2 linked regions of the Elephas maximus indicus genome follow. The protein of the gene in region 1 binds, or shares a complex with, the protein of each later gene. Links are inferred from orthologs where the notes say so. Each region holds a gene or a part of one and is shown on either strand. Other genes may lie near its edges.

Region 1 (9,884 bases):
AGCACAACTGGACTAAACCAAAAGCAAAGAAGTTTCCAGAATAAACTGAATGCTTCGAAGGCCAGTGTAGCAGGGGCAGGGGTTTGGGGACCATGGGTTCAGAGGACAACTAAGTCAATTGGCATAATAAAATCTATTAAGAAAACATTCTGCATCCCACTTTGAGGAGTGGCGTCTGGGATCTTAAACACTAGCAAGCAGCCATCTAAGATGCATCAATGGGTCTCAACTCACCTGGATCAAAGGAGAATGAAGAACAACAAGGACACAAGGCAATTACGAGCCCAAGAGACAGAAAGGGCCACATGAACCAGAGACTACATCTTCCTGAGACCAGAAGAGCTAGATAGTGCCCGGCTACAATGGATGACCGCCCTGACAGGGTACACAACAGAGAACCCCTAAGGGAACAGGAGAGCAGTGGGATCCAGACCCCAAACTCACATAAAAAGACCAGGCTAATGGTCTGACTACGACAAGAAGGACCCCAGTGGTCATGGCCCCCAGACCTTCTGTTGGCCCAGGACAGGAACCATTCCCAAAGCCAACTCTTCCGACATGGATTGGACTGGACAGTGGGTTGGAGAGGGATGCTAATGAGGAGTGAGCTTCTTGGATCAGGTGGATGCTTGAGACTGTGTTAGCAACTCCTGCCTGGAGGGGAGATAAAAGGGTAGAGGGGGTTAGAAGCTGGCAAAACGGACACGAAAAGAAAGAGTGGATGGAGAGAGCGGGATGTCCCATTAGGGGGAGAGTGGAGAGTAATTGGGAGTATGTAGCAAGGTGTATATAAGTTTTTGTGTGAGAGACTGACTTGGTTTGTAAACTTTCACTTAAAGCGCAATAAAAGTTATGAAAAAAAATTTAGGTTCACAAAGGAAGATAACTATCACAAAAGAATAAAAAGTAAATGGGACTGAGGAAAAAAAATTTTTAGTTAATATCTGAACAGCCTTTGATAAGTAAATATTTCAAAGTATATGGGAAAAGTTAAAAACAATACAACAAAGTAAAAAAAATTAATGCTGAAGTCTTCCCTATCACACAGATTATAAATTAAGGTTACAACAAAAATTTACTAATTTAGTTAACTCTTCTTTAATGTTGTTCTCCATTTTTGTTTTCAAATAAATTGCTCTGCCCGTTGTTCTTTTGTTTAAGTTACCCTTACACTATCACATCATCATTTCTTTCCCAAACAGCAGCACTGTAAGAGCCAGAATAAGACTGGTGAAAGTCCATTTAGTCATTTTTCTATTTTTCCTTGCAGATATATAAATATCTGAAATTTTCCTTATCACTTTTAAATTTAAAAAGAAAAAGAATAACTGGAAATAAAGCTTGAATCTCCTGAAGGCACAGGAAAAGGGAGTCTTAATAAATGGGAAATTACATTATCACAATCTATTCAAAGCTGCACACTATAAATATGGCTGAAAAAGTTGAAAAATACAGGGTCCTCTTCTCTGAATAATTAATTAAACCTGAAGCCTAATGGCTAAAATCTTGTCAGTAAAATATGTATCAGTTCTAGTATCTTCACTGGATCCTTCTGAGGTCTCATCTTCTGTAGTGTAAATGAAAGCATAACTCTTTTTAATCTGGATGATCTTCTATTACTTATACAGCAGCAGCGTAATACCAGGAAACTGTCAAATAATTACATAACTAAAACTATATAAATGTATTAATTAGTAGAATAAATCCCTACCCATTGAATTTCTAAGATTTAAAGGGTTATATTAAAAAATAAAACTTTCCCCACATTCATACTTCATGTTTTAAAAGAAAAAATAGCTGTTTATTTGATGCATACTTTTGAAGAATTTATTAAAAAGAACTTTCTCAAACACCCTTCCAGGTTGCTTACCTGTAGACAGAGTAAATCTATTCTTAACTGATCGTGCAACAGAACTGGCACAACTAAGCTGACTACACAGGTATGAGCAAGGCAATACTGCAGCACTGTGCAGAAAATAACTTGTTAAAAAGATTGTGTGTGCACAAAGAACACCCCATCCTGGGAACCACTATGAAGTGACGTAAACAGAACCGCAACACACAGAGCTACAAGAGGAGAAGAGAAGACAGGGTTACATGAACACCAGTTAATACCTCAGCCACTACAAAGTACCTGCTAAAATGCCTCCAACTCTGTATGAGCTGTGGGTTGCGAGTGGGGAATACGGGAAAGACTAACGTCCACTGAAAACCAATTCTCCAAATGGAAGTTAAACAATTTTGCTTTCCCTATGTAAACACCAATGCATATTATAATATAAACTAATACAGATGATTCATTAAAATTTTAATAATTTGGTATAAAAAAGTTAACATAGCATCCACTTGCTGTCTCTTAATATTTTTAATCTGTACTACAGATATGAAAATAAGATGTGCACACATCCTAAAATGTACAATGTGCAATTAGAATTACCAATAACTAGGACTTCAGTAAAACCAAACCACTTGTCATGGAGTCGATTCGGACTCACAGCGACCCTGTCAGAGGCATAGACTTCATAAAACTGTATCCTACCAGACGGACACAGTGAAATTTTTAGTTTCATGATGCAACTATTTTTACACACACAAACTGACATATACCTCCATCAATCTTCTTACTATCTCTCTGAAACTGTCATCTATTATAATCTAAGTATTTCATTAATAACTTCAAAATCAATAGCTCTCCAAAACATTATTGTTTGGACAGTAAAGCCCATGACATCAAGTATTACAGAACTAAAAACACCCAGAAACTGGACCATGCTAACTGGCACCATGCACACAGGGATGGCGCTGCATAAGCATCGGGATTTGCCGCAACAGTATCACGAACTCTGAAAACGCGAGGCGTGAAGACCTCTTCCAAACTTTCTAAATTCCCTCTTTACAAATGCAAAAACCTTAAGAGACTCTAGCCCATAATTTTCAAAGTAGTTCAAATTACCTGGAAACCTTCTAATATAACCGAATAGATTAACACACTACCTTCCACACGCAAAATCCTACCAACATCATTCAAGTAATAGCAACTCCGAATTTGTCAGCCATTTAAATTATATTAACCTATTTAAAAAGAGCGGGGCACTGGTGGCGCAGTGGTTAAGCGTTCGGCTGCTAAGCGAAAGGTCGGCAGTTCCAATCCACCAGCCCCTCCCTGGAAACCCTATGGGGGAGTTCTACTCTGTCATACAGGGTCCCTATGAGTCGGAATCGACTCAAAGGTAACAGGTTTGTTTGCGTTTGTATTTAGAAAGAGGTAATGCTAAACATAAGGTCCCGTCCTTTCATTCTACCTCTCTTTCAATTTGTTTCCCCCGCATATAACTGCCAAGACTAGCACTCCTCAACTCCCAGGCCCTAACTCGGTTTATCACTGCCAGTAAATACAGAACACCAAAAATAACCAAAAGATCCCTTTACCGATTACAGGTCTGGAATGCCCAAAGAAAAAACTCCGAAATCTAAGACCTTATTCCGGCACCCCTCCATTGCATACAAACGCGAATTCTGCTCAAGGGTTCCCGTGCCCACCTCAAATGTCAGTCACAGTCTTTTGCCTGAGTCGACCTGTCCCCTAGACAGACTCGCCACAATCAGAGCGAGGGAGACAAACGAGGCCTGAGCACAGGGAGTGACTGAAGATTCAGGGGCAGGATGCTCAAGGGGAGCACGAAATACCAGTGTGACCCAAGTGGGCATGGTGGGCGACTCCGGGCCTCCCCAGCTCGCCCAACGCCTTTCCTCAAATACCCACACGAAGTCACAGAACCCTTACCTCCACCCCCAGCTCTCCTCGCAAACGCAGACCCGAGGCACCCACACTGCCGCTGCTCGCAGGAGCGGGGAAGGAGACCTTCCGCCCCGCGCCTTGGCCCCGGGAGGACCACAAGGAGGAGGTGCGCGCGCGGCTCCCGGAAACCGCTCCTCGGAGGCTCACGGGGCCCCGGGGAGACTGAGAAACAGAACCCGCCTGCCGCTTCGCCAGGGTCCGGCGAGAACGGGGCGTGGGAAGAAAAAGAAGGAAGAGAAAATGGACAGTAAAAAAAACTCCAAAAAAAAACTACCAGGCCGCTAGGGCGATCGACTCAAAAAGCCGCCGGAAGTCAGGAGACCGTCCTGTTCCTCTGTAAACGAGCCAGCTTCCGGCCGCCAGGTTAGTCGTCAGAGCGCAGACCCCGCCCCTTTCCTCGTACGTTGCGTCGACGCTGAGGAGCGAGAGTATTAGCGAGAGATCAACTCCTGAATATGTTCTTTGTGGAAGGAAACTTGGACTCGCGGGGGACTTTTTTGATTCCCAATTAAAAGTGAACTTAAGAGAATTTCCCCGTTCATTACATAATTTCTTACAATAAACAACTATTTTAGGTGTGCAAAATGCTACGTGTATTGAAAGTAACTACAGCCATTCATTTGTTCAAGAATGCTTATTGAGACTCTGAGCTGGACCAGACCTGGCGAATGTCCTATTTTTGAACCCGTCTCCTTTGTAGCCCATCGCCTATTATTGTGGAGCAAACGGAATGCAGGGTTATGTTTTTAAAGGCGCAAACAAGTTTACTGAAAATGTGAAACAAAAATCTTTCATATACTCCCGACGGTCTTTCCTTTTGTTGCTTAGGGTCTCAAAGCTTTAACCAATGATTTGTATGATACAATTTATTAAAATTGTTTGGTTAGTGAAACATCCTGAATCAAAGTAAAAAAAAAAAAATTAAAATCAGTACCTTTGAATTGTGGTGTGGGCGAAGAATATTGAATATACCAAATCTGTCTTGGAAGAAGTGCAGCCAGAATGCTCCTTAGAGGCAAAGATAGCGAGACTGCGTCTTACACACTTTGGACGTGTTGTCAGGAGGGATCAGTCCCTGTAGAAGGCCATCATGCTTGGCAAAGTACAGGGTCAGAGGAAAAGAGGAAGACCCTCAACAAGGTTGATTGACACAGTGGCTGCAACAATGAGCTCAAGCATAACAATGATTGTAAGGATGGCTTAGGACAGGGCAGTGCTTCGTTCTGTTGTGCACAGGATAGCTGTGAGTTGGAAGCGACTCAATGGCACCTAACAACAACAACAACACCTAGCCCCTTACAATTTAAAAAAAAAAAAAAAAAGTGAAAAGAAATGTGAACTCTTGTCTTATTTGCAAGGTGGCATTTATTTTATTCTTTGACAAAGCCAAGAAATGGGAAAATCTCGTTACAAAACTGTTGATAAAACTTAAAAAGAAGCTGGGACAATTATTTGGTCTTGCTGGAATCAATAAATTAAAATATGGGAGCAGAGTGATAAAATCAAGGGCATTAAACATTCCTGATGACATGCCAGACTATTTTAGAGACAGCCGCGAGAGCCTCTTTACAAGTTGGCTTGATGAGACGTTCAGGCAGCAAGAATCCAAATTCGCCTTTATCTCGAAGTTCAATTGTAAACGAGTATTTGGTGCCCAAGTCATAAATCCAGTCATCTGAACCTCCAGGAGCTAAATCTACAAGAAGAAATTGCTTTTTAAAAACATATTTTAAGTTAGTTAACAAAATTTGTTTTCCTAAAACTGGAAAAAGCTTTACTTGTGTTCGATTATTAAGTAACCTATGTTACTTGTAGGAAATGGAGATTGAAGGGGAAAAAAGGTTAAGGAAGAAAGTAAAAATCACCCATTATATTACCAAACCAAACCCATAAGGACCCTAAAGGACAGAGTATAATTGCCCCGTGGGGTTTCCGAAGCTGAAATCTTTAGGGAAGCTGACTGCCACATCTTTCACCCTAAGAGCAGCTGGTGGGTTCTAATTGCCTACCTTTCACTTAGCAGCCTAATGCTTAAGCACTGCACCAACAAGGCTCCTTATAACCCTACCAAGGAGCGACTAAGAAGGAGAAAGGAAAAAAAAAAAAAACACATTGCCGTGGAGTCAATTCTGAAGCATGGCAACCCCATGAGTAGAACTGTTCACGGCGTATTCTTGGCTATAGTCTCTAGGGAAGCAAATGCACAAGACTTTCTTCCATGACCCTGTTGCATGGGTTCCAACCCCCAACCTTCAGGGCAGTAGGTGATTGCAAACTGGCTGGGCCACCCAGCAACTTCTAAGGAATGATAATCACCATCAATGTTTTAGCACGTTATCTTTAATTTTTTAGTGCAGACATTCACATGTTTATTTTTTTCCATACATAAATGGATCACACCATGTATGCTGCCTTGTAACATTTCTAAATATAACCTATCATGACCAGCTTTACATATTAATTAGTTCAAATCTGTATTATTATTTTTAATGATTGCATAACATTGCATGATAAAACTGGATATAATTGATTTAAATAATTATTAATTTATTTGAGGGCATTTGGATTTTTTCCAATTATTAATTACCACAAAGAGTTTTATAATTAATACCCTTATTCATACATAATTTCTTCTTTATTTCTTTACAATATTCTTCTCTAGAAATACAATTACTAGTCTAAGGATATACACTTTTTATAATTATTATGCATATCTTCAAATAGCCTTAAAAGAATTGAACAAATTTATACCCCCACTAGCCTGGTCTGAATAGGCTCACTTCCCCTCCCACATCATCCATGAGAATTATGAATTTCTGGCAATTTGATGGGTGAAAAATATTATCAAATTCTCTTAGTTTCTGTTTCTTTCATTACCAGTGAGCTGAATATTTTAGATTGGAGGAAGACTAGAAACCTGCATTATGCAGATGACACAACCTTACTTGCTGAAAGTGAAGAGGACTTGAAGCACTGACTGATGAAGATCAAAGACTACAGCTTTCAGTATGGATTACACCTCAACATGAAGAAAATAAAAATGCTCACAACTGGAGCAATAAGCAACATCATGATACATGGGAAAAGACTGAATTCGTCAAGGATTTCATTATACTTGGATCCACAGCCAACATCCATGGAAATAGCCATCAAGAAATGAAAGGACATATGGCCAAATCTACTGCAAAAAATAATAATAGTAATAAATTTTTTTTTTTTTTTTTTACTGCAAAAGACCTCTTTAAAAGTGTTAAAAAGCAAAGATATCACTTTTAGGACTAAGGTGCACCTCACCCAAGCCATTGTGTTTTCAATTGCCTTATATGCATGTGAAAGTTGGATGATGAATAAGGAAGACTAAAGAATTAATCCCTTTGAATTATGGTGTTGGCAAAGAATACTAAATATACCAAGGACTGCCAGAACAATGAACAAATCTGTCTTGGAAAAAGCTTAGCCAGGATGCTCCCTTAGAAGTGATGGTGAGACTTCGTCTCATGTACTTTGGACATGTTACTGGGAAGAACCGGTCCCTGGAGAAGGACATCATGCTTGGTAAAGTACAAGGTCAGTGAAAAAGTGAAAAACCCTGAAGAAGATGGATTGACACAGTGGCTGCAATGATGGGCTCAAGCACAGCAACAATTGTGAGGATGGTGCAGGACCAGGCAGTATTTTGTTTTGTTGTACATAGGGCTGCTATGAGTTGGAACCAACTCAACAGCACCTAACAACAACATAGATTTTGTGTGTGTGTGTGTGCGTGTGTGTGTGTGTGTATGCACACATATACATTTAACAATGAATCCATATGTATACACATATATGTGTGTATAGAAAACCCTGGTGGCATAGGTCTTAATCACTATGGCTGCTAACCAAAACGTCAGCGTTTCGAATCCACTAGGTGCTCCTTGGAAACCTCGTGGGGCAGTTCTACTCTGTCCTATAAGATTGCTATGAGTCAGAATCAACTCAACAGCAGTGGGTTTGGGTTTTTTGGGGGGTGTGTATATACACGTATATATGTGTGTGTACATATATGAATGCATATATATGTATTTTCCTATATGTATTTTTTTTTATGTTTATATATGTATACATATAAAGGAGACCTGCTGGTGCAGTGCTTAAGAGCTTGTCTGCTAGCAAAACGCCTGTAGTTCGAATCTACCAGCCACTCCTTGGAAACCCTATGGGGCAGTTCTATTCTGTCCTGTAGGGTCACTATGAGTCAGTATCGAATGGATGGCAATGGGCTAAATGTATAAAACCAACAAAACCAAGCCTGTTGCTGTGGAGTCAATTCAGAGTCACAGCGACCCCATAGGACAGAGTAGAACTGCACCATAGGTTTTCCAAAGGAACAGCTGGTGGCTTTGGACTGCCAGCCTTAACTTAACTTTCTCTCTCAATTGGCTCTGAAGGAAGGTCTTTTGCCATCAATCCTCCCTTGGATCTAGGAGTTTCTCAGCCCAGGGACCCCAGGTCCAAAGAACGTGGTCTTCTCCTGGCTTTTTTTTTTTTCCTTGATGAAATGAGGTCCCTCTCCTCTTTGTCTGATTCTCTTTTATGTCTCAAAAGAGAATGACTCGATTTTCCATTTGTCTAGCTCTCCTGTCCCCTCCTGCCTTTTCATCCTTGCCCCTGGGCAGGTGTGCCCATTTAGTCTTGTATACAAGGTGGAACTACAGGTATTACTGTTTGTTTTATGGGCCTGTCTAATCTTTGGCTGAAGGGTGAACCTCAGGAGTGACTTTTAAAAGCTCAAACCTAGGTGGGGGGGCCAAGACGGCTGCCTAGGTAGACGCTATCTCGGATCCCTCTTGCAACAAAGACTCTGAAAAACAAGTGAATCGATCACATACATGACAATATATGAACCCTGAACAACAAACACAGATTTAAAGAGTTGACCTGAGTGACAGAGACGGAGAACGAACAACTACGGGGAAGCAGAGACCGTTTTCGGAGCCTGGAGCCAGCGTCCCAGTCAGGTAACCTTGGCGCCAGGCTTAGGACTGGGCGCAGGGGAGCTGAACACAACATCTTATGACGGCGCAAACATGGGGCGCAGCCCTAGCCCCCTGAACTGACCCCAGGAAGGGGCCCAGCCAGTCCACGTGTGCGGCTTGGGGACGTGGCTGGTGGGAGGAGAAGTCCCTGGGAGGCAGTGACTGGTTTTGGAGCCGGGAGTGCAGCATCCCAGCCAGGGAACCTTGGCGCCGGACGTTGGACAGGGACCAGGGGAGCTGCGCACAGCATCTGGTCAAGGCACAAACATGGGGTGCAGCCCTACTCCCCTGAACTAACCCCGGGAGGGGGCCCAGCCGGTCCGCCGGGGCGGCGCAGCGACACGGCTGGCGGGACGAGAAGTCCCCGGGAGCCAGCGACTGATTTTGGAGCCGGGAGTGCAGTGTCCCAGCAGGGGAACCTTGACGCTGGGCTTTGGACTGGCAGTAGAGGATCTGACCGCGGCTTCAGCAGGCCAGACCCTCGGGGGCAATCTCCACACAGCCAGCACACATAGGTGACACGCCCCTTGGGAATCTCACATAAAATAGTCATCCCAAGCAAGATAAGCAACTTTGGCTATATTCCGGGGTGCTACTCTCTCCTGTTTTTCTGACCCTCCCCTCCCCTTCCCAGATGGCTTCATTAACATTGGAACTTCCTGAGCCAGAGGGAGAACGGCTCCGGCTCTGCGGCTTTGCTATTTCCTTTTTTTTTTTTTTTTTTTTGGTCTTTCCTAACCCATTCTTCCGGCCTGAGAGAAGCAACCACAAAAAACCCAGGGACCAAAAATCCTTCCCTAATTGGACTAAAAACACAGAACCAGCTCCAGCCAAGCATATAAGATCCATATCTCGGGTTTTCATCCCTACAGGCAACAAGGTGGCTATTATAATGCAAAGGCAGTTCTGATAGGGATCTGACGGCATTTTTTTTTAGCGGATTTAATGGAAAAACAAGTTTCCCAGGTCTGATATCTCTGCTTATTCAACAGAGCACTAACTGACACACAACAGGGAACTGAGGGCGGAAGCTCCCCCCAGACCACCTAGCCTCTTGCCTTAGGGGTCTA
Region 2 (10,038 bases), on another chromosome or scaffold:
GTTAATGCAAACTCTGTGGGAATAAACCACATATTTTCAGAGAAATACTCAAATGCCTGATTAATCACACTGCTATACAATTTTCCAGCTTATACTTCTGAGATCCCTGATCAAATTTGAGTCGTACAAATAACATTTCTGGTACAGGAATTATCTGCCAATCAAGTCATTTTTAGGTATGTATTATGATCTTTATAGTCCCTAGGCTCTTTCCTCCAAATTCTGACTTATCAAAATTCTGATTTTGTAATTTTGAGAATTTTTTAAGCTCGAGGTTAAAAAAAAAAAAAAAACTGAAGAAAAAAGTGGAAAAAATTTACTCTTAACAGTGGAAACTCTTAATTAAAGCAAGTCCATCTGCCTGCTACCTTCAGGGCATTCCTTCCACTTAATAGCTAAACTGTCCTGACTTCTATCTTAAAGAGGTCTGTAAAAGTATAAAAAAGAAAAAGCTATAACTAAACAACTAAAAAGAAAATCGCATCTGATGCTGTATCCCACTACACATATCACAAAACATGTCAAAGCAGTAAATACAAGTTATACATGGAGTTTAGGACGCACCACGGACAATGATCATGACCAGGTAATCTTCTTCAGATTTGGCCAGTGCCTTGGCAGGGGAATCCAGGAACTGCTGGGAGAACTCACAGGGTGGGAAGGCATGAAGAACCCCGGTGTTCTCCTTGTCTTTATTGCCCCCCACAGGGAGGCTGATCACCCCAGCAGCCTGCTTTTGCTTTAAATAGGACACAAGGTTCCTAAGCGGCCTCTGAGTAGAGGTGGCAGTGTCCGATGTGGCTGAGGAGGACCGGCTGTCAGAACTTCCAGGCACAGCCAGAAGAATGGCATAACCATTGGGCCCTGCCACTTTGATGCGTCGAGTTACTTCATCCAACTTGGGCTGGTCCAAACGGAGACGCTGAGTGATCTTCAGCTGGGCCACTTTGCCTCCAGTTGTGCCCTCCACCAGAAGACTACTAGCCACTTGGAGGTCACCCTGCAACAGATGCATGTTGGAAGGAAAGTTGCTGTTCTTCAGTAGAAGCATGCCCTGCCAGGCCAAGCAGAGTTTGGGAGAGGCTGCTGCTGCAGGGGCTGTACCGCCATCCTGTTTCTGGGAAGGGGACTTCAGCTTCAATGAAGTAGTGCTGGTGCTAGGCACACTCCCATCAGAACGGTCTTCTTTTTTCAGAGGGCTTTTTCCCTCAGTGGGAACAGCTGTCCGGTGCTTTCTATCTCGTTCCGCTGATGCAGAGTTTTTACGGTCTCGCTTGTCACCTTGGTTCTTCTCCAAACTACCTCGTCTGTCTCTGATTGGAGAGGGCTTTTCCAAGAGAAGGCGGGAAGATCGATCATTGTCACTGTTGTAGCGATCCCGGCTACTGCTCAACTCTGGACTTCGGTCAGGAGAAGGAGCGCAGTGACGTTTTCGTGGACGGTCACTCTCAGGGGACCTATCCAGATGGCGTCCCCCACTCTCTTCAGGCAGCCTTCGCTTCCTAGGCTGCTCTCTGCTGCTGGGAAGATCTCTCTCACCTCTGTCTCGATCCAAGGACCAGCCATCCCGCCTCCGATCCAGGCTATCCAGTGGCTCATAAGCAGGTACAGCAGCAGCTGCAGTCCGTGTGCTGCGTTCTCGGACTGGGGGTGGAGGTGGGACCCAATCAGGGTCTGGATAAAGGTCCCTATCACGATCTCTGTATAGTAAGGGTGGTGTCCTATCCCGAGCACCCCTCAAAGGGTCAGGCGCCCGATGTCCAAAAGCATCTGTCACCAATTCATAATGAGTCAGAGGCAGGGGCTGCAGATACTGCTGCTGGTAACGATGCTCTGTGTCTGCAAAGTCTACTCTAAGGCGACGATCTGGGCCACCAAGGGGGAAGCCCCGCATATGAGTCCAAGCAGCATGAGCTGCATCTAGGCTTTCATACTGGATATATGCCCAGCTGTCCCCTTTGCGGTAGTCTATGGTGCGTATGGTGCCAAATCGGTCAAACTCTCGTGCCAGGGCAGCAAGAGGCACCCAAGGTCCCAGGCCACCTACCCAGAGGCGGGTAGTGGGTGTAGCTTTACCATAACCAATTTTGATAGGATTCCGAATTATAATTTTGCCAGACATTGCTAGTTTGGCTCTGTGAGACATGTCCAGATTCTCAAATTTGAGAAAACCATAGGTACTGGTTTGACCACGAGAAGGGCGTTTGATGTCTACTTCTGTGATGACTCCAAAGCGATCAAAAGCCCTTCTTAAGTCACTCTCTGTCACAGTGATGTCTAGGTTGCCCAAGAAAAGCGTCCGGTTAGCTCGCTGATCATCCTCAGGTGAAATCTCATCCACTTCTCTGAAAGGGGCAGCCCCGGTTCCAGCTCCCACCCTTGGCTCAAGACTATATGCTGGGCGCACTCGCTCATAGAACGGATAATCTCGGTCTCTCTCCAACTCTCGGGGCAACGGTGGCGGAGGTGGAGGGGGCAGACGGCCAAGAGCCAACTGCTGCAACCGGTAGTCTCTGTATCCCAAGGCAGCGCCACCAGGAGAAAGTGACCTTTGGCCTCCACCTCCTCCAGGGGGGTGCCGGTGACCACCTACAGAGGACCCGACCACGCTGGCCGATGGAGGATAAGAATCTTTGTCTAAAGGGGAGCGGCTGCGGCGCCGGCTCACATACACAGCCTCTATCTTCAGAGGCCGGTCATAGAGCACAAGGCGGCCTCTGGCATGCTTGGCCGCCCGCGCGTCCTCCGGCCGCCGGAAGTTCACAAAGGCTACCCGCTCATCCCCGCTGCCAGAACCCGAGAGGTGACTGATTTTGACACTCACATCACCGAAGCGTTTGAATTCGTGAAACAGTCCGTCCTCCACCGCTTCGTCACTCAGCTGGGACCCCAACTCGCTTATCTTTAGTGTCTTGTATTCCCCGCCGTCTCCGCCGCCAGGAGCTGAGGAGGCGGCCCCTGAGGAACGTGACTCCCCGCCTCCACCCCGGGAGCTGCTTCGCGACTCGCCCCCGCCCGAGGAATTTTTGGTGCTTGGGGAGCTATAACTATGCAGGCGGCTACTGGAGGTGCCCCCACCAGTGTCATACTCGCGGCTGCCACCTCGACTGCTGGACTTGTCCAGGTGAAGGCTCCGCCGCGACCCACCGCCGCTCTCGGTCTTTCCGCTGCTGCTCCCATTGCTACCACCAGAGCCACCTAACTTCTTGCCGCGCTCCCCACGGGAAGTCGAGTCCTCACCACCACGGGAGCGTTTGGCCTTGACTGGCGAGCGCTCTTTTCCCTTCATTGTTGCGGGTCGTCGGAGGTCTTCTCCGCGGAGCTGATTAACCCGCCGCCCCGCGCTCGTTTCACACAGCGGAACCGCACGCCGCCATCTTGGACTCCGCCGCGGCAAAGGCTCCCGCCCCGCAGTCTTCATTGGTCAATTAGATCCTCTCTTCTACAGTCTCATTGGAAAGACTATTTGTCTGTCTTTACATCTCCCGGCGCTCCGGGAAGGCGCCCGCCCAACCACTGTTATTGGGCTCCCAACGCCCTAGTCAGAGTACCTCATTGGTTGTATTCCTTGTCTATCTTAACGGTTCCTCGCGCCAGGCTGTAGCTCCGCCCCTCGCACCCTACGGTCACCTGACCCAAAGTCTGGCGGCGTTGATTGGACAAAAAGTCTGCCTTGTAACGGTACTTCTTGAGCGGCGAAAGCAGCGATCCCACCTCCTCATCCCTTTCATTGGTTTATGATCCTGTCCTTTAACCCACTAGTTGGGAATACGGCCATCGGTTCGGGCGATTTTTCCTCTGAGAGGTAGGCTCACAACGATCTCGCGAGAGAGCTCCCTGTTTCGACCCTCTTCTTCCAACTCCTTCGGCGGCTGACAGAAGTTTAAATCTGATTGGATGTTGTCGAGGAAGTTGATAGGCTGAAATAACTGTCCGTCACCCTCTTAAAGGGGTAGGCCCATATACTGAGGCGGCTGACTGAAGGTGAAAGCCTAGAACCCGCGCTTGCTGGGAGACGTCACTTAGATATCGCGAGATGGTGACCACGAGCCCGCCCCGCCTCCTCGTGCTTTCGGCGTTCTCCCCTCAAACATCTGTTCGGTGCCGAGGCGTACTTGGCGGCACTGCGGCCCTTGGAACTCGAAACTTCTGGGCTCCCCACTGTCCTACCTGTGCCAGACGAGGGACTGGGCAGGCCCTCCGGCTGTCGGGTACCACGCGTGCCTCAGGAAACCATCTCGAGGCGCCCGGCAGGCACCATCTTAAGTCCCTCTGGCCCTACGTGAAGAGCCTGAAAAGGCTCCTCCCCCCTGTGCGCGAGAAGGCGCCGCCCGCGGTCACTGGGGTCCCCGGGGCCCGCCCGGCCCGGGAGTTTACAGTTCACAAAAGTGCCGGGTCGGCCCCGGACGGTCTTCTGATCGGCGCGGGTTCTCGAGGTCCCGCACTTATGGAGCAACGCCGGGCTCTTCTTGGCGCTCCTCGTGTCTGCCCAAGTACCCCGGGTAACCGGGGGAAGTGACCGACGCTCCCAGGCCCACGGTCCGCAGGCGTGGCCGGAACTGTGGGGCCACCGCAGACGTGTCTTTAGGCTTCCTGTTTTATATTGCAAACCCATGTGGATTTTGTACTCTATAGTGCGTGTATAGCTAATCTTGTTTTTATGACTCTCCCCGTAAAACCATCGAGTGAAATTGACGCTCCGTGCAGATTATGTTTGTTTTTATGTGACTCTCCCCGTAAAATAATCGAGTGAAATTGACGCACCGTGTTTTTTTTTCTGTGACTTCTCGTACCGCCCGGCACTCCTGGTTATTCGATATTATAATCCAGTAGCACAGCCACCTTGCTGGTTCTCTAAATCTCTCTGCCTCTCTCAAACATTGTCTGCATCAAAAGTCAACTTTTATCCTTTCCATAGACCTTTATTGTGTCAGAGGAGCCCTCGCAGCACGATGGTTAAGCGCTGGGCTGATAACCGAAAGGTCGGCGGTTGGAACCCAGCCTCCGCTCCTGGGAGAAAGATAGGGCTATCTGCTTCTGTAAAGCTTACAGCTTTGGGAACTCTCTGTTCTATAGGGTCACTATGAGTCAGCATCCACTCGATGGCAGTGGACTTAAATTGTGTCAGACAATAAGGCACCTGTGCAAGATGCTGGTGTGCCAACAAGATTACAACAGGTACAGCCTCTGTTCCTGCGCTCACCGTCTGGTGAAGCGAGGTAGTGCTGAGTTCACAGAGGTTAGGCTTTCTGTAGTCCTCCCAGGTCTCCGCCAGGCAGAGGTTATGAGGATTCCAGTGTAGATGCCCTCTTCAGCCACATCTCAAGATCCAATCAATCTGTTTAAACATGACATTTTTAAGGTAACTATGATGTTACGAAAATCAAAACCTGAAGCTGAAAATTTAAGATTAGGGACTGCAGCATATTTTGCTCTACCTTAGGTCTCCTCTTTCCAAATAATCTTGAGGAAAGTGAAGATTATATTTTTAATATTATATGTGTGTTATAAATATTTGATTTAATGTCTTGATTATATCAAAGAGACTTGAAGCCCATGTTTAAGTGGATATGTAAAGCATAAAAATACCCAGTAAAATAGTGTGTAGATATCTTCATATTAAAACTAGCTACTAAAAATTTCATAAGGTATAAAACTGTATAGTATGCTACCATTTATGGTTTAAAAACGCACGCACATTGCACATTCATTCATAGAAAATTCCTTGACAAATACACGGAATATTACCAGGATTCCCCTGAGGAGAGAGACTGACTGCAGGTCTGGGATGGGAGAGAAATTTCCCTTTTCATTGTAGACTCTTATCTATTATTTTTCATGCTCTTTCAGTTTAAAAAATAGCAATTCTTTCTAGCTTTCCCTTAAAAAATTATTTTTATGGAAAAAGTAAAAAATATGCAAAGGTAGAATACTATAAAGAACCACATGAACTTAACACCCAATTTCAATAATTGTCAAATCACGTCACACTTGTTTCTTCTGTGCCTTCTTCCCAGCTTCCTCCTCTCCCATTATTTTGTTCCGGGCTTACTCGCTGTATTTCCTGCCCCAGACATAGAATCAGCCATTTCTCCAAAGAGTTCTGGTTCCTTTTTGGGGAAAATGGTATTTAGAGATAAAAATCTCAATGCTAGTGGATTAAAAGAATAAAAAGCAGTGTTTATAAAAGCACAAAATGCTCAAAGAAAAAGATTTACATGGTTAAGAGGTTTTAATCTGTTTCAAGGTTGTATTAATACAACACAAAGGAAACAAGCCATTATCTGATTACTCAATGCAATAACCAGTCCAGTGAAACCAGGCTCCAGAGTGACTACTTTTGGTCAAAACTGACCTGCTTAGTTGACTCACTGGTCAAAGAAAAAGATAAGGACCAAATCAGTATAGTTTCCTCTACAGGAATGAGGGAGAGAAATCAAGGAATACTGCCTTGCTGAACAGGTACCAGGATATGTGGCAATGCCTGTCACTCTGCCAAGTTGGTGGCTTGAAATACGAAGGAGCTGGCAGGGGCAGGAAGCCTTGCCTAAGAGGACTGATACGTTGCCTGAAGCCAAGAGGACTGGTAAATTTAATGGTTAGAAAATGTCTAAATTTCATTACCAGTAACAGCGCCAAAATAGTCTGTGATGTGTGTTCGTGTCCATGATAGAACTGAATATGTTGGATGTGTGCTGTAGTTAAAGTGAGTGATTTACTTTGTTTTCATTTCCCTTGTGTTCCTTAAAGCATGAAGCTGCTTGGTGACATTTTATCAACCTGTGTTTATACATGTGCTTTAGGGAGGGCCGAGAAAGGATAAAAGCGACCCATGGTTTCAGCGCCAGGCTTGGAACTCTTTTTCTGGTGTTGGTGATGGAGTTGTTGAAGTCCAGTCCAAGTTTTCATCTGGTCTCCTTGTGATCAGCGGCCAGGTTTGTGAGGAGAGCTAACCTGGGTGAGGAAGTTCTTTCAGTAGTCATGAAGACAGAGTTAAACTACCAAAAAATTCCCAGAGCACCACAGTAGCATGTTGATCTCTCCTTTCAGTGCCCTGCCAAAACTCAAGAAATAATGTTCAAGAAAAGCTCACAGCCCATTTTGGTGTCAGGGTGGCCCCTTGGAGCTGTACAAGGCCTAGAGAACACAGCCAGGCAGGAGAGCAGCTACCATTAGCTTTCTATGTGAAGTACTTTTTCCATCTCCTTTAAAATCAGTTTCAGCTTTAAAAGGAAAAAGCAAAATAAAAGGCATAAACATGGAAGACTACTGTGCAGTTAAAAAATAGCAGAATGCTTTCAATCAATTATCCTTCTTTCCATTCCCCTCCTTCCTAGTTTTTTTTATTTTTATTTTTTATCTTCAATACACACACAATTATGATTGCTATATGAAATTTATCTTGGAAGCTGAGAGCCCTTTGATTTCCTGGCAAATACAAAAAGGACTGGATCTGGGAATTGAAAAAGAAAATTTTCCACCCACAATAGTAGATTAAATTTTTCTGTTTCATCTCCTTTCATAAAGTGAGTGGTCTCCTGACAGCGAGGTTTATTTTATTTGGTGTACAAGAAAGTATATTTTTTTTACCCACAGGCATATATTAAATCCTTAAATCAGCAAACAATCATTTAGAACCCAGTTTGCATTATCAAGTCACTTCTTTGTGTATTTTTTTTTTTTTATGATTTTTATTGTGCTCTAAGTGAAAGTTCTACTCTGTCCTATAGGGTCACTCGATGGCACTGGGTCTGGGAAGTGAAAGTTTACAAATTAAGTCAGCCTCTCACATAAAAACTTACAGACGGCTTGCTACTTACTCCCAATTACTCTCCCCCTAATAAGGCAGCCAGCTCTCTCCCTCCACTCTTTCTTTTCATGTCCATTTCGCCAACTTCTGACCCCCTCTACCCTCTCATCTCCCCTCCAGGCAGGAGATGCCAACATAGTCTCAAGTGTCCACCTGATTCAAGAAGCTCACTCCTCACCAGCATCCCTTTCCAACCCATTGTCCAGTCCAATCCATGTTTGAAGAGTTGGCTTAGGGAATGGTTCCTGTCCTGGACCAACAGAAGGCCTGGGGGCCATGAGCACCAGGGTCCTTCCAGTCTCAGTTAGACCATTAAGCCTGGATTATGAGAATTTGGGGTCTGCATTCCACTGCTCTCCTGCTCCCTCAAGGGTTCTCTGTTGTGTTTCCTGTCAGAGCAGTCATCGGTTGTAGCCAGGCACCATCTAGCTCTTCTGGTCTCAGGATGATGTAGTCTCTGGTTCATGTGGCCCTTTCTGTCTCTTGGACTCATAATTACCTTGTGTGCTTGGTGTTCTTCATTCTCCTTTGATCCGGGTGGGTTGAGACCAATTGATGCATCTTAGATGGCTGCTTGCTAAGAGATAAGACCCCAGATGCCACTCTCTAAAGTGGGATGCAGAATGTTTTCTTAATAGATTTTACTATGCCAGTTGACTTAGATGTCCCCTGAAATCATGGTCCCCAAACCCCTGCCCCTGCTACACTGGCCTTCGAAGCATTCAGTTTATTCAGGAAACTGCTTTTGGTTTAGTCCAGCTGTGCTGACCTCCCCCTGTATTGTGCATTGTTTTTCACTTCACCTAAAGTAGTTCTTATCTACCAACTAATTAGTGAATACCCTCTCCCACCCTCCCACCCTCCCACCCTCCTCTCGTAACCACAAAAGAATGTTTTCTTCTCAGTTTGAACTATTTCTCAAATACTTACAATAGTGGTCTTATACAATATTTGTCCTTTTGCAACTGACTAATTTCACTTAGCATAATGCCTTCCAGGTTCCTCCACGTTATGAAATGTTTCACAGATTCACCACTGTTCTTTATCGATGTGTAGTAGTCCATTGTGTGAATATACCATAAGTTATTTACCCATTCATCCGTTGATGGGCACCTTGGTTGCTTCCATCTTTTTGCTATTGTAAACAGTGCTGCAGTAAATATGGGTGTGCATATATCTGGTCATGTAAAGGCTCTTATTTAGGGTATATTCCATGGATTGGGATTGCTGGATCGTATGGTAGTTAAGCGCCAAATCAATTTCCAAAGTGGTTGTACCATTTGACATTCCCACCAGCATTGTATAAGTGTTCCAATCTCTCCATACCCTCTCCAACATTTATTATTTTGTGTTTTTTGGATTAATGCCAGCTTTTTGTTGGGGTGAGATGAAATCTCATTGTAATTTTGATCTGCATTTCTCTAATGGCTAATGATCATAAACATTTCCTCATGTATCTGTTAGCTACCTGAATGTCTTCTTTAGTGAAGTGTCTATTCATATCTTTTGCCCATTTTTTAGTTGGGTTATTTGTCTTTTTGTAGTGGAGTTTTTGCAGTATCATGTAGATTTTAGAGATCAGGTGCTGATCAGGAATGCCATAGCTAAAAACTTTTTGCCAGTCTGTAGGTAGTCTTTTTACTCTTTTGGTGAAGTCTTTGGATGAGCATAGCTGTTTGATTTTTAGGAGCTCCCAGTTATCTAGTTTTTCTTCTGCATTCTTAGTAATGTCTTGTATACTGTTTATGCCATGTATTAGGGCTCCTAACATTGTCCCTATTTTTTCTTCCATGATCTTTATCGTTTTAGATTTTATATTTAGGTCTTGGATCCAGTTTGAGCTCATTTCTGTGCATGAAGTGAGGTATGGGTCTTGTTTCATTTTTTTGCAGATGGATATCCAGTTATGCCAGCGCTATTTGTTAAAAAGACTGTTTTTTCCCCATTTAACTGTTTTGGGGCCTTTGTCAAATATCAGCTGCACATATGTGGATGGATTTATGTCTGGATTCTCAATTCTGTTCCATTGGTCTATGTATCTGTTGTTGTACCAGTACCAGGCTGTTTTGACTACTGTGGCGGTATGATAAGTTCTAAAATCAGGTAAAGTAAGGCCTCCCACTTTGTTCTTCTTTTTCAGTAATGCCTTATTTATTGGGGCCCCTTTCGCTTCCATATGAAGTTGGTGATTTGTTTCTCCATCTCATTAAAGAATGTTGTTGGGATTT

The links.
Region 2: ZC3H13 (region 1) and RBM15 share a complex: the UniProt entries of both Homo sapiens proteins name them as parts of the WMM complex. The link is inferred for Elephas maximus indicus from reciprocal best matches to the Homo sapiens genes ZC3H13 and RBM15.

What each region holds. Positions count from the first base shown.
Region 1 is NC_064832.1:33,684,645-33,694,528, reverse strand, and holds the start of ZC3H13 (zinc finger CCCH domain-containing protein 13), read right to left. Parts: upstream 4,150-9,884; 5' UTR 4,074-4,149; exon of another isoform or gene 3,785-4,073; intron 1-3,784. Other genes in the region: carboxypeptidase B2-like, read right to left, coding at 5,311-5,495. UniProt on the Homo sapiens protein: Associated component of the WMM complex, a complex that mediates N6-methyladenosine (m6A) methylation of RNAs, a modification that plays a role in the efficiency of mRNA splicing and RNA processing.
Region 2 is NC_064821.1:170,958,111-170,968,148, forward strand, and holds the start of RBM15 (RNA-binding protein 15), read right to left. Parts: upstream 4,441-10,038; 5' UTR 3,422-4,440; coding exon 565-3,421; intron 1-564. UniProt on the Homo sapiens protein: RNA-binding protein that acts as a key regulator of N6-methyladenosine (m6A) methylation of RNAs, thereby regulating different processes, such as hematopoietic cell homeostasis, alternative splicing of mRNAs and X chromosome inactivation mediated by Xist RNA.